Oreochromis niloticus: one gene and its partner. The protein of the gene in region 2 purifies or fractionates together with the protein of the main gene of each other region. This does not show direct contact. Links are inferred from orthologs where the notes say so. Each region holds a gene or a part of one and is shown on either strand. Other genes may lie near its edges.

The links. Proteins that work in one complex are often made in the same cells at the same time.
Region 1: the proteins of histone H2A.Z (region 2) and acidic leucine-rich nuclear phosphoprotein 32 family member E purify together in Homo sapiens (affinity purification with mass spectrometry; 4 studies listed by BioGRID and IntAct, with this or other methods). This does not show direct contact. The link is inferred for Oreochromis niloticus from reciprocal best matches to the Homo sapiens genes H2AZ1 and ANP32E.

The regions. Positions count from the first base shown.
Region 1 is NC_031976.2:38,087,730-38,095,530, forward strand, and holds the start of acidic leucine-rich nuclear phosphoprotein 32 family member E, read right to left. Parts: upstream 3,002-7,801; 5' UTR 2,847-3,001; coding exon 2,793-2,846; intron 2,706-2,792; exon of another isoform or gene 2,117-2,705; intron 1-2,116. Other genes in the region: mothers against decapentaplegic homolog 4, read right to left, coding at 6,469-6,674, 7,679-7,801. UniProt on the Homo sapiens protein: Histone chaperone that specifically mediates the genome-wide removal of histone H2A.Z/H2AZ1 from the nucleosome: removes H2A.Z/H2AZ1 from its normal sites of deposition, especially from enhancer and insulator regions.
Region 2 is NC_031967.2:1,586,811-1,593,680, forward strand, and holds histone H2A.Z, read right to left. Parts: upstream 2,317-6,870; 5' UTR 2,300-2,316; coding exon 2,189-2,299; exon of another isoform or gene 2,175-2,188; coding exon of another isoform or gene 2,172-2,174; intron 1,890-2,171; coding exon 1,812-1,889; intron 1,666-1,811; coding exon 1,552-1,665; intron 1,475-1,551; coding exon 1,345-1,474; intron 1,121-1,344; coding exon 1,059-1,120; 3' UTR 565-1,058; downstream 1-564. UniProt on the Homo sapiens protein: Variant histone H2A which replaces conventional H2A in a subset of nucleosomes. Nucleosomes wrap and compact DNA into chromatin, limiting DNA accessibility to the cellular machineries which require DNA as a template.

The sequences.
Region 1 (7,801 bases), on a different chromosome or scaffold from region 2:
AACTCCGTCTTGTGGTTTGCGACATGGTGCTGCTGTACGTGCACCCGGATTTGCGACATACTTTACGGTAAGTCAAAACAAAGACTGCACCCTCGGCACTTGCTGTTTACAGACTGCGTACTTTCCAGATGAGCACAGGTCAGGTGGTATATCATGATATATATCGTTATCGTGATATAAAATAATTCATATCGTGATAAATATTTTTTCCATATCGCCCAGCACTACGTACAGCTCTGCTATCACTTCCAACATAAATGAAGACAGAAAACTAAACAGCAGTGACATTTGTAGGGTTACTGAAGTTGGACTAGGTGGTATATAATGATGTGCTACGTGATCGCTAGCAAAACAGCTACGTTAGATTAACATTAGCACAGTAAAGTTGAAGGATGGCCGCTAACTTTTTTCCACTCGATAAAAGTTAACGTGAGGGTTCCCGATGGTTAGGGACAAATGCAATCCCATGGCAGGATGCTGTAAACAGACCAAACTTCAGTCAGGAGAACTGAGATAATCCATCCACAATACGAGGTTAGTCATTAATATACTGCTACAACATGGGAATAGAGCAGTTGTTAGGGAATTCAGCATTAATGAATCAATGGTAGGGAAGTGGAGGAAGCGCAGTTTTTGGCTTTCCCCATATTCCAAAAGTGCTTTGTCTCTTTGCTGTTACTGTTGCCCGGCATAATTTGCAGATGATGTTGTTTGCAGCCGCTGCGATGCTTTCGACCAAAACAGCGCATGTTGATAGTGTCATCAAGCTGCGCCTATCACGGTACAGTGGTATAGTCAAAATCTCTACCATTGGCCAAATTTATATCGTTTCTACCCTATACCGTTTATACCACCCACCCCTATTACACATCACACATATTCAAACTTTCAGCTTGCATGTCTCACACACACACACACACACACACCTGTTGCCACCTGGTGGCGTACACACAGACTGCAGTCTGTGACCGTAAAATATAATGTTTTAAATCAGGGGTCCCCAATCTCAGTCCACGAGGGCCGGTGTCCCTGCAGGTTTTAGATCTCACCCTGGGTCAACACACCTGAATCACATGATTAGCCTCTGGAGAACTTCAAGACATGTTGAGAAGGTAATTTATTCATTAAAATCAGCTGTGATGGATCAAGGACACATCTAAAACCTGTAGGGACACCGGCCCTCGTGGACTGAGATTGGGGACCCCTGTTTTAAATAAACCATCTTCCAGCGCTTCAGCATTTAAAAACTACTGTAGCCCGCGAGGGGCGGGGGGGTCAGTCTGCCGGGTGTTACACACTCACACATCTCCCTGCCCACAGTTACAGGTGTGCACCCAACTTCATACACAGTGGGCGGGGCTCCTCAGCTGTGGAGCCATTTTACACTACCCACATTCAAGACCGACCCAGAACAGGTCGCGCTTGAAAATGAGACCTCGTGTCTCAATGAGATTTACCTGTATAAAGGTGAAATAAAAATAACAAAGAACACACATAAAGCTTCACCAGCCCTGGGTTTGAGCATGCGCGGGTCATCATGACTTATATGTTTTGATAACGACAACAACAACAAATCCAGCAGGGTGCTTGCACAGTGAGTGTTTGGGGGGGAACCATGCATGTGCAGGACAGGTAAACAGGTATGGCCGTTCTCAGGTACATGAATAACCACGTGGTTTAACGCTGGAAATGCCGAGGAGCTCATCAGGAGGAGGTATCTGGTAAACCCGGGTTTCAGAGGTTTCTGGGGAGTCTTCAGAAAACTAAACGAGTGTCACTTTCGGTCGGAGCTCTTCGCCCGGGCCAGCACTCCACCTCTCCCGCTGGATCTCATCCATATAGCTGTTAGTGTGTGACCGGAAAACCGGCGCTCAGCTTCACCGTTACTATCACCGACATGAGAGCACACCTCACCCACCAAAACTGTTCGTGCGGCAGTGTGAGAAACTTTTTAAAAACCCTCTCCATAGTTTAAATCCGCCTCCCACCGAACCTCGCGTAGTTTTTGTGAAATTTAAGCGCGCGGCACTCGTGCGCCTGAAAACACAGCAAGGAGGGCGGGAACAGCAGACTGAACAACAACTCTTTAAACTCCGATTTATTGTGAACAACGTACCGTTTTCAGACAGCGCCTGGGTCGAACTGACCCGTGGCGACACGGAAACTGTGGAGAGCCTTTAAAGATGTTATAATAGAAAAATGACTTGACTTAGAACTATATGAGCTTAAACGCTGAAATGAGAATGGAGTCCGGCCGCAAACGCCATCACAGCACGACCATCGCGGATCAGTAACTCTCTAACAGTAAAGGTTAAAATGGGAGCCTGCTCGGCCGAGCGGTCACCCCGGGGTGTTCAAACAAATGCAGCCGAACCCAGCCACAGTCCGCGACTACATTTTCTCGGTACCGTCGAGGACCAGCGGCGGCTCTCGGCGCGCTCCCCCGGCCGCGGTTCTGTTATGAGGGCTGGGCGCTCGGCAGGTTAGCCTGTTAGCCCGTGTGCTAGCTGCGGGAGGCTCGCGCGAGGCTGCCCCGCGAGAAGTGAGCGCGGGAGAGGGATCGAGCCTGCACGCCGCGGGCTCCTCCAGGACCGAGCGGAGTTTCCTCCATGTTGGAGCCACAAACATGTCGCGTCTTATCGTTCAAAAACACCGACAGAAGATCAGTCCGCGGGTTGGGAAAAGTCGACGGCCGCCCACGCTGAATGTTATCAGCATCGTCATGGCTTCACACGGCATCCTTCACCAGTTTCTTCACGAAATAAATAAATTAAAGTGTTGTAGTTACTTGCCTCGGCTGGATTTCTGTTCCTCAGCTCCAGACTAATCCTCTTCTTCATCTCCATGTCGAAGCCCGAACAGAGGGCGAAAAAACAAAGTATAACAAAGGAAAAGTGAAAATAAAATGCGCGTCAGTGAAACACTCCTTCTTCTACGGACACAAGGCGACAACTAAACCTCCATGTTCGCTGTTGCCGGTCCTCCACTGTTAGACCACGCCCCCATCTAATGAATATCCATATTTTTAAGAAGCTTAACCTGTTATTGGTCCAAACACGATCAACTTACTAAGCCCCCCCCTAGCATCTTAATATGCACAGACCTCGTCTGTGAGTGGCTGTAAATGCAACTACGTCACTTTAGTGTTACCAATGAGAGGGTGAACATGAAACGTTTAAACTTTACAGGCGCCCTCTCTTTGTCCTCGTTGGCGCCATATTGCAATGGTCACTGTGATCATTTTTCATCGATTACCACAAAATAACCACAGTGTTTACATCAATAATTCACCTATACACACATTATTACATCCAACTTCGTGCCTTTGATCTGACCACAGAGGCTGTTTGTTGTTTTAAGTATTTATTGCAATAATAAACATGATTCATATCATGGTTAATCAAAGTATTTTCTATATCTTTTCATATTTATTACAGGTTATATTCTCCTTCTTCTTCTTCTTGTTATTAAGAGCCATGGGAGGTGACGTGGTAGAAAAATATGAAACAAATAAATCATATAATTTACTTGAACATTTTTTCTGTAAAAAAACCAAAGTGACCGAAACACAGATTTTCACTTAAGTTTAGACTTTCCTTTGATCAGATAATCAGAGTCCATGATTTTCCTGACCTTTAACCTTCCACCTGTCTGATTGCTGAGGTAAACATGAGATACCACCAAAGTCTTTCCAGACACAAGTCTAAAGGTAGCCAGAAAGCCTCGAGCACCTGTGTGGGCAGTTATTTGGAAGAGTCAAACTTTAAGAGTCTACAGAGCTCCAGTAACACGTGTGTCTGCAGAGAACAACAGTTGCCTTAAGGTGCTTTATGTTGTAAGGTAAAGAGCCTTCAATAATACAGAGAAAACCCCCTATGAGCAAGCACGTGGTGACAGGGGGAAGGAAAAACTCCCTTTTAACAGGAAGACTCCTCCAGCAGAACCAGGCTCAGGGAGGGACAGCCAACAATCATTCACTCTCTGTAACAGTTGGAAACTTTTTCTCCATCAGCATTTTCAGCACTGCTGCCATTTGGTTCCACCAACCCTGTGCGCTGGTCAGATTTGACTCTTTCAGCTCCTCCAATCACATTTAGACTGTGACTTGTGCATGCCTGCAGAGGGCAGTGTTGGACCTCTGTGTGATGCTGTTCTTTAGCGTCTAACTTCCATTTCCTCACCAGGTGCTTGGTGTTGCATGCATGTACAGGCGGCCATGTTTTCATTTTGGTTGGTTTTCTTCAACACAGATGCTCTGGATCTTATGTGTGTATGGGGCATGTGTGTAGTGACAATGGAAGCTATTCTATTCTATTTATTTTGAAGTTTTAGGTCATGGTGAGCACGCTGAGAACAGAGAGCAGATCTTCTCTCTGCTGAATGCTCTGAGATGAGATTATGATGCAAATATGGTTAACTTCACTGCACTGCGTTGACCCGGTGTACATGAGCAAACAGGTTCTTAACGTGGCCCTGAAACTCTTTCGAATCTATGGCGTTATTTTTGTGCATCTATTCTGAGCGCATGGAAATCATTGTTGCAAGTACAAATGTTGCATTTTGAGGAGAAAATTACTTTGAAGGAAGAAAACTCAGTGTTTCAGTGTTTGCTAATATCCATAAACACACACACACAATAACAGCCGCTCTCGCTCAGATCTCTGCTCTGTGTGCTCAGACGTCTGCAGACCTGCTCTCTACATCTCTGCTGCCTGCACTCTTAACTCTCTGTACAACGTTATAAATGTGCCACAAAACCAACCAATCACAGACTTGGATGCAAAAATTCTGATTGGCTGTTTAGGTCTCCAATCAGCTCGCTAGCTACTAGCTAAATCCAGCAGAGTGGTTTGGTTTAAACTAGATGAAAACCAACAATGGTCTTAAAAAACGATATATTTTAGAATAAAACAATTAAACATACTAACTGAAAATGGGTTTAGCTACACTCTGGACTGTTTCTGGATTGCAGTGGCTAGTGAGCTGAGATGTCTCCACAGCTGTGGAGAAACTCCAGTGTTCTGAATGTGGACTACAGACAGATCATGTGACATACTTGAGCACATCGTTGTTACTGCTGCTTTCTGCAGGTCACATGAACGAGACGCAGCCATGAAAAACATAATTCTTCCTCCTGCTGCTGCAGAGACGATCCAGAGGAGCTCCGTCACTCTCAAGAACATTTGAACCACAGCAGACTGAATTGCGAACCTCATTTCACTAAAGCTCAGACCCTTTACACTGACTCAGAGTTCAGCTGTGGGTCCAAACATATGTGCAGGTTATTAATCAACAGGTCCATGAAGGTACTACAACGCGGCCTGTCTTCCTAATTTCCTCGGTTTTGATGAAAAACGGTGGGCGTAAGAGAAGCGTGGCGCTCGTGTTTCCTCTTCGTAACTTGGCCTTTATTCATGAAGAATCTCTTCACAAACCAGTAAGATTAAATCTGTAAAAGAAAGATGGATTCGCTGCTTTAATTCCTGCGATCGCCAAACACGTCTTCGTCCGTCTGTTTTACGTTCAGAAAACATCTGAAAACGTGGACAAAGGTACACGTGTAACAGTAGTGATGTAGCCCAAATCTGATTGGTTACTGGGACACTCGCAGGGGATCTGACGATATCTGATGGATTATTTCTGTGTGCGCGTCAGTACATTGAAGAGGGTGTGGCCTTTTTTATGGACCAGGTGTGGCCTGTTTCTGTTTCAGCTCCCTGCTGCCCTAAGTGGAGCAGCTCTCATGAATGAAGCTCCTCGTTTGATCGTTTCCAGCGCAGATCATTAATCATCGGGTCAGCTGAGACCGCAGAGGTCACCTGGATCGTTGATGGACTTCCTGGGAGCGCCCTACCTGATCACTGAGTGTGGATGGAGAGGAGAGTGTTCCTATGGAAGCGTTTCTGAACGCAGAGTGAAAGACGAACAAAGACGAAGCAGATCTTTATCCACCAGAGACTTTTAATTTGAAGAGACAGCTGATGATTCAGAGCTTTACACCCTTTCAGTATAAAAGCCTTTAAATGAGTTAAACGTGAGAAAAAAAGCAGACGACAGAATAAATAATGTGACTGTCAGAGGGAGCAGAAACGCAACGTAAACAGGATGTGATGTCATCAAAGAAACAGGAATGGCTCTTTGGTCAACAATCAGCTAAAGGAACTAAAAACCGACAGGAGGAAGATGATGATGACGAGGATTTTTTGGTAATCAGCTGATTTCTGACATCAGGCTTAAAGGGTCAGTTCACCTGTTGAGGGGGTGGAGCTAATAAACCGCAGACCAGCGGGGGTGCTCGAGCAGAAACTCAATGACGCTTCGCGTGAGCTGACCCTTTAACGTGTCACGCTGGTTTCCACGGAAACGAACTTAAACGACAGCAGAAACGAGACGCTGCGATCGGCTGATTGTCTGAAACCCGTGTGAACCGACCGATGACCTGCTCCGGTGTGTTTGTCGGCGGAGGTCCTAGAGTGCGTGCTCTCGCGGCGGCAGCGTGTGCAGCACCTGGTCAAGCAGCTGCAGCGCTCTGTGCAGGTGCACCTCCAGCCAGCAGGGGGTGTCCTTGATGCTCTGCCGTGGGTAGTCACACCCCCACCCTTTGACGAAGCTCAGCCGCACGATGCACAGCCTGCGGAGGTCGTCCACGCCCAGACCGGCCGCTGAGCGCACACCTGCGGCAGAAAGCACAGGTGAGACACACAGAAACAAAAACGTGTGAAATTAAAACCAGGAGGCTTACACGGAGGGCCGAGGCCGCCCACCTTAAAAACGGAGCGAAATAAGATTAAACGCATGAAAAAGCAGGAAGTTGCACTGAGGCCCAAAATGTCCAACACGAATCTGACTCAATTCACTCTGCAGGTAAGTCCTTTAAGTACTGCGTCTGGTTCATGTTTTATTTTATTGATTCATCGATACGCTTTTGTCACCCAGTTTATTTTTTGATTTCTCCTTTTCCCGTTTTATGAATTTGAACCTCTTTATTCCGGGAGAGACGCCCGTCAATCATAGTGAGGTCACCAGCTGACTGACCCACAGGCGTCTTCTCATTACCTTATAATTAATGGCTACATTTAATTTTTAATTATCGTTTTGCACTGACAGATATGAATCCATTTACTGAGGTATTGATTTATTTCTTATGGATGTTTGATTGTTGGTCCTCCGTGCTGGAGAATCAGGTAATCAGATTACATCTGTGTCTCAGCTCTGACTGTGTTTGGACCTTTTTCTGTGAAACATTCGAGCTGCAGGTCTTAAAATCAGAGATCAGTGAGAACTCGTTGAAGGCCTCGCTTCACCTTCCACACACTTCCTGCTTCAGCCTTACCCTGCCCATCAGCTCACAGATATTAGGCCAATAACTCTCCGTCTTCTCAAACAAGATTTCATTCACGCTTTTAGTCCCTCACAGTCACAGTGTGTCCAGCAGGAGGCGCTTCACACACACACACACACACACACACACACACACACACAGCTGACAGTTTCATTTTTCGAAATTACTAATCTTTTGTTTAAATACTTTATGAAACGACAAAAATACTTAAATGTTGGTGCACACGGTCTTGGTCTTGTCACTGATTTAAGAGTTACCGTCTGCGCTCTGGTCCAAACAGTGAAAATTACACCTGTGCCTGTCTGTCATTGGCGGTGTGGGGCAGGTGATACTCACTGACAGCAGGCGCGATCCCTCCCACACTGTTCGGACCGGGAATTGCACCGACAACCGCGGCTGCCTGAGTCTCCACAGCTGCCTGAGCCGCTGCCGCCTGCTGCTGCATCTGCCGGTGACACT
Region 2 (6,870 bases):
GGTAACTAGGATTAATTTACCCAACCCCACTAACTGCAGGAGGCTGCCCAAATACTCAAAGAACCCATGCAAACCATAAAGGAAGGCCCAGCCAGGTCGTGGATGTAAACCCAGCACCTTGTTGTGAAGAAAGTGTTAGACATACTTAGAAATATAAGATCCGCCATCAGATGTAGTGCGTGGATTCATCAGTACTTGGGCCATGTAATCAAATAAAGGTCTGGCTGGCTTTGAAAATTTGAACCAACTCCAACCACCAAAGATTGGAGTTCTGACTTTTCAGTCATTTGCACCCATGAGAATTTCAGTGCATATTAGCAAATAAGTTTGAATATTCAGTAGACCTCAAGTATTTAAAAAAATAAATCTAAAACACTGCATGTAGCCAGCTCACCTAACGAGCCCATTGGCATTCCTCCAATTTTGTGTAAAACTGAACAAAAGTGGAATGAAAGCCAAAGCTTCACATTACGCCACCTGTAGTCATACATCACTGCATGATTAAGAGGAAAGTCACAGCACTCTGTTCAAAGAGAATAAGACAAAGACTAGGGGAAACACTCAGACTGTGCCAAATCCAGTCTTTATTCAGGAATCCAAAAATACCAACAAGGTTATGAACCGGTCCATGACAGTCCAGTGGTAAAGAGAATGAACATGCTTTGAAATACAAGGCTGAAATGGATGGTCTGCATTAAAGGTACATACAAAGCACAAGCACATCTTGAGTTTTCACAAAAGCTATGCACATCCTGTACTCCGTATCGACTAGGTTTGGTGGCTGTGAGCTCCTTTCAAAGCTGTGAAGATTAAAAACAGAAAGGCCAAATACACGTATACATCCAAGACAAGCCGGCTGGAGCCGCCCCCCACCCCCAAAAACCTGCAGGAGAGGGGAGGGGCCCACTATTAAAAAAAACAAAAAACCCAAAAACAAACCCCACCCAGAGTAGTAAATGCACACTACCATAAAATAATGTAAGATTACTAATCTAAGACATTTAACCACTTGATGCAGACTTCATCCTGAGATGGCACAACTTGCTGAACACTTCAGGTTATACAGTCTTCTGCTGGCCCTTCTTCCCGATCAGAGATTTGTGGATGTGCGGGATCACGCCTGGAAAAAATAAATGTTATAACAGTTTATATACTTGAACGGTTAAGTTTTCATTTCAGTAACCACTTTCAGCTGCTCCCTTGTAACAGAGTTGCCACAACAGTGTTGATGTTACAGTTTTACACCAGATGCAACACAAAAGGGATTTGTGCCTCAACAAAATGTGTAAACCACTACAGTACGGGAGTATAAGACCATCACACAGTTCTCTGTAATGTTCGTACCTCCGCCTGCAATAGTGGCCTTGATAAGTGAATCCAGCTCTTCATCTCCTCTAATAGCCAGCTGCAAGTGGCGTGGGGTTATACGCTTTACTTTAAGGTCCTTTGATGCATTTCCTGCCAACTCTAGAACCTGAAAGAGACACAGCCTTTACAAAAAGATCAACACCTCAAGCAACGAAGTGCAAGATAAACGGAGCTTAGGGTCACCTCAGCAGTAAGGTATTCGAGAATAGCCGCGCTGTACACCGCCGCGGTGGCTCCTACTCTGCCGTGGCTCGTTGTTCTGGACTTGAGGTGTCTGTGGATACGGCCTACCGGGAACTGCGGGGATAATGTGACACGAGTGAACAGAAGCAAAGCCGTGCTGGCCGCTCGATGAGAGCCCGCCACCGACAAAGAACCACTGACTTTTGGCTAATAGCGCGTGCTTGCGCAACCGAGAAAATGAATGAAATTTGGGGACAAACCTGCAGTCCTGCTCTCTGAGAGCGCGAAATCGCTTTGGTCTTGGTCTTTCCAGAGTCTTTACCAGCTTTACCACCAGCCTGTAAAACACCAGTACTGTTAGTGTGCCTCCGCCGAAACGCGCCTTATTGTAGCTCAACATTAACTTAAGGTCCGCTTAATATTCGCTAGCCATGCTAGCGCTTCCCCAGTGAAGCCAGTGGGTATTTAGCATGCTAATCCACTACACCAGCCAATGCTAGCGGCCAACTGTTAACTAATAAAGAAAATGCAACGCTACCAAATTAAGATTTGTTTCAAACAAACTACCTAAACAGAGTGTGTCGTTATAATGTTTCGTTAATACGACATGTAATACGTACCATATTTAAAAACTTACAAAGAAACTCTGACTCCGCAGCCAAAATAATATCCTCCGTCTGCACTGAATATCGACTGTTGTTTGAACTAGACCCCCTCCCCCCCACAGCGGGTCTTTATATACAACCATGGCTACCCGGATGACGGCAGTCACGTGATTACCGCTGCAGCTCTTCAGCCAATAAATGAGCTCTCTGTGCGGTTCCGTTCTAAGAGCTTATGGGTAATGTAGTTTATGTGGCGTATCCCTTTCCCATTTTATATCGAAATGAGTTAGCATTAGTTTTTCTTTCACATGTCATTAACTTTTAATTTACTATAGATAAAAGTCCCCACATACATTCATCTTCTTATCTGCTTATCCAGTTTAGGGTTTAGGCAGAAAGCTATCAAAGCTGATGGTAAAATTAAATAGCCCCATTTGGTAAAACCTCGCCTCTGTCAGTGCACCCCAGGGCAGCCGTGGCTACAATGTAGCTTGCCATCACCTGTTGTGAATGGGTGGATGACTGAATGTAGTGTAAAGCGCTTTGGGGTCCATAGGGACTAAGTAAAGCGCTATACAAATACAGGCCATTTACCATTTAGTTTAGTATATGAAGCACAGCAGAGTGCTCACCCCCGCCTCCCCCACATACCAATTTTCAGGGTCTTGCACGTTACCTCTTTTCTAAAAACACATATGTACTCGAGCAGAGGTCAGTGCAATAGCCTGGAAATCTAATTGCTCTGAGTATCATTTAACTCTAAGGTTGGGAAATTGCTGCTATTCTTGTATAACTGGAAGAACTTTGCTGAAGCAGCATGATCAAATGTTTAAAATAATGGGATTCCCTGTGCTGACTGGGACAACTGGCCACACCATCAACAGGATAAAGCAACCAGCCACAAGCAGACAAAGAAGGCAAACTGAAGAAAAAGTTGGTGCTCTGTGTTTGAAGTAATTTAATTACAGCCTGCATCAATCCATCCATCCTAAATGAATGTTGAATGAATCTCTGTGTGTTACATAGATGTCACAAGCTACCTGTAAAAATTCCCAGGCAGAAAGAGAGAGAGACAGAGCAATGGCCACTCATAAAGATCAGCCAGAAATCTATCACTTCCTACAGCTGTGCCTCAGATATGCAAGATTTTAGCCAAAGACTGGGTGTAGACTCAGTTCCACTCAGCCTTGATAAGGAAATGGCTCGAGCATCATAATGATCTTTTACACCACTTGTTCCAACCACCCCAAATGATACAGGAAGAGGGGAAAAGTCGTCGACCAAAAGGCCGTTCAACTTGAGCAAAAGCCTTCTCGGCACAAAGAGAGATACAACTGAATCCTCCCTGCTGTGAGCAGGGATATGGATGATACCAAAGAGTCTCTGCATGTTGAAATGAATATGCCCACTGGGTATGAACTTTGTCTGATCCAGAAGTATGATTTTGGCAGTATAAGTTTTCAGATGATTAGATCCTGGTTTTTGCTTAGACTGAAAGGAGAGATACAGGTTTGTACTATGAGATGAAAGTAGGGTCACAGTTCTGTTTCAAAATCAGAGCGATCCTCGCCGGATAAAGTGAATCCAGTACGATGCCCACTTCTTTAGACTGATTCAACATTCAAAGGACCGGAGACCAATAATATGCTCTATGCTTGTAACAGAAGGACCTATCAGTCTGTTTGTGCAGCTTTCCAGCTGTCACACTCCAGCTCAGTCCAGCACTGCTCGCAACAGCCGACTTAAAGAGAGGAGGGATGATTAGCTGATGGAGATCTGCTGTGTTGGTCAGCCCCACCCCCCTAACTGGGAGAGGAAATCAGCCATGGGTCTGCTGGGGGCCGTGTGGTGTCAGGGGAGGCTGACTAACACAGCAGATGGACTTTGAAAAAAAAGAAAAAAAATCAAAAAAATCAAAACTTTTTGTAAAGTCATAAGAAGAGCTGTCTTGTTGTCTCTTTGTTGTACATGGCTGCATCACAATACTGTAAAATCAGTAATATTGTAGTGTGAGCCATCATGTGCTGGATATGGAGAGATCAGGTTATGAACTAAACCAACAATGTTTCCACAATCCACATGAGGGAAATACTGAGAGTAGGAGAGAAAGAGAGGGACAGCTCAGAAGAAAAAGGCATAAAGAGCGTGAGAAGCGCTGATGTCATTTTTCCTGCGGGGACTTGAGCGGAAACAAAAATAGAAAATAAATAAATAAAATCTTTGGTGGGAAAATAGTGCAGCTGGAGAGTAGCTGACTGGGTCACTGATGAAAGACAAAAATAGATGCTAGTTTTTTACATGATGTCATCCTGTCACAATATGTTGAGTGAACTAATCCATTGAGCTAGTTATTACCAGCCAACACGGGAAATTCAACCTTTAAAGAGTGCTGAAGGAATGAGTGTTACAAACCCAACGTTATTATTTGGCATTGGCTCAATATTTTAAACTGAATTTTTTCCCCTTTTCATACGAGTCCAAATCCAACATCAAACTGTGGATAACAGAGGGTGTCAAAGCTGTCCTCAGCAGGAAGAAGGAGGCCTTCAGAACCAAGGACAGGACAGTTATCAAGTCAGCACAGCAGGAGGTGAAGCAGTGCCTGAAGGTGGCCAAGGATGCCTAAGACTACGTCCACACTAGCCCAGATAGATTTGAAAACGGCGTTTTCGTCTGAAAATGCTTCACATCCACACTAGCGTTTTCAGTCTTTTTCACAGAGTTGTGCATCCACATTGAAACGGCTAAAAATACTTAGGTTCCAGTCTAGCACATGCGTGAAGCGCAAGAAGATTCGGCCTGCCTCATTTCTGTCTGCCGTTCATTTACTTTCCGGCTCTTTGAAACGTCGCGGCAGAATGTCGAGGAAAAGCACCGAGTTTTTTAAATGGACTAACAATGAGGTGGAGTTGTTGCTGCGAGTAACACAAAAGTACAAAGTTGCAAAAGCGAGTGAGAATGCGTCATCGCTTTAGAAAGTCTCCGTTTTCACTGTCCACACTGTGACGCAAACGCACCGTCTTCAAATGTATTCCTTTTCGAGAGCGTTTTCAAAACGCTTCGTTTTCCTTGGGGAAAGCGCCGTCTCAGTGTGGACGGTTGGCCAAAACGGAGAAAAAACTATGCATTTTCAAACGAAAACGCATTAGTGTGGACGTAGCCTAAGTCCCTTTTCCATTAGTCCCTATTCAGACCGACAGCTGAGCTGGTGGAGCCGTTCCAACAAGAGGGCCCACTCAATGGAAAATATCTTGTATCGTAAACAGAGCTGGACTCCAGCTAATGGCGGTTTGGTCTGAGTAGCGTTTCGGTGAGCTCCTGCAGAGTTGGGTGGTTTTTTTCAATTATTACTGAGCACTTTTTCTCTGACTCGACCCCAAGCAATATCTAAGTCCTTTTACAATTGTAAACTTTTATATTTTGGTCACTAAAATGCCACCAAAGCCGACTAAATGAGGAAACTTGATCCAGCCTCGCCTGCAGCCTCTCCTGATGAGCCCTTGACCTGTCCTGAGTTGGCGACTGGGGCCCAGGCTGCCGATAGTAGCCGTGTCTGTGCTCTCAAAGTAGAGTAGGAGAGTTTCACCTAACTAAAGGTAACGGTTACCGAGATGCAGCGATCCCTGTCCACCTGTACTGACGACATCATCAGCCTCCAGAGAAAAGTGGACCATCTAACTAAGGCGGTGGCCAAGTTGGAGGATAAATGTGACGATTTGGAGTCCAGGTGTCAAAACATCCGCATCATTGGTGTTCTGAAAGACGACCCATTGTCAGCATCCACGGATGCCGATTCGCAGTTGCTAAAGGAGGCCTTTGACCTCCCAGAGGAGCCGCTGCTAGATCGCGCTCACCGTACTCTGGCTCCCAAGCCCAAGACACAAGAGCGGCCCTGTGCCATAGTAGCTAACTACATTACTACACTGACTGTGTTAAAATCCTTTCGAGGGCAAGGGAGCTTCAGTGGATCAAGGTGAACAATATGACCATCTCGGTTTTCACCGATTATCCCGCCAAGACGGCGCGAGCACATGCAGCCTTTGCAAACAGCTGCCGCTAGCTCAGAGGAGTCAAAGGGGTCCGATTCGACCTGCTGCACCCAGCCCGGCTGTGGATTATTCATGATGGGGTCACATGGGACTTACATTAAGACGATAACCAAGTAAGAAAAATATATCTAGGGGAACTGTTGATGTTTCCGGTTTATACTTCACGTTTTGAGGAGTGTATTTTTCTTTCTCATGGATAACTTTATCTTTGATATTCATAAAATGTAGTCTTTAAATGTTTGTTTCGTACTGGTTTACCTCGAAGCCAGAATTTTCACCGCAGGCATTCTTGGTTCCTGAGAATAGTGCCTAATGTATATTTTCATTCTATACTGCATGTCTAGTTCTGTAGGATTCACCCAGCACTTAGAGGTGTTTTTTCATTGCGCTATCTAGCTGTAAACATAAGTTTGTCAGTGACTCCCATAGGAGTCTGCAGTGAGGAAAGACAGAGTGAAAGCAAGGGGAGCCGAGCTCCTGGACCAGGTACGCACTGCTCGTTTTTTCACAACACTGGATTTAACCACGGGCTGGCTGGGTACTACTGCCAGTTTATGCCAGGCTTCACAGACCTGATCAGCCCCTTGACTGATCTCGCCCCAGATCTGGTCCAGTGGACGGAGCAGTGTCAGGCAGCGTTCGTACAGGTAAAGAAGGCTGTGGCG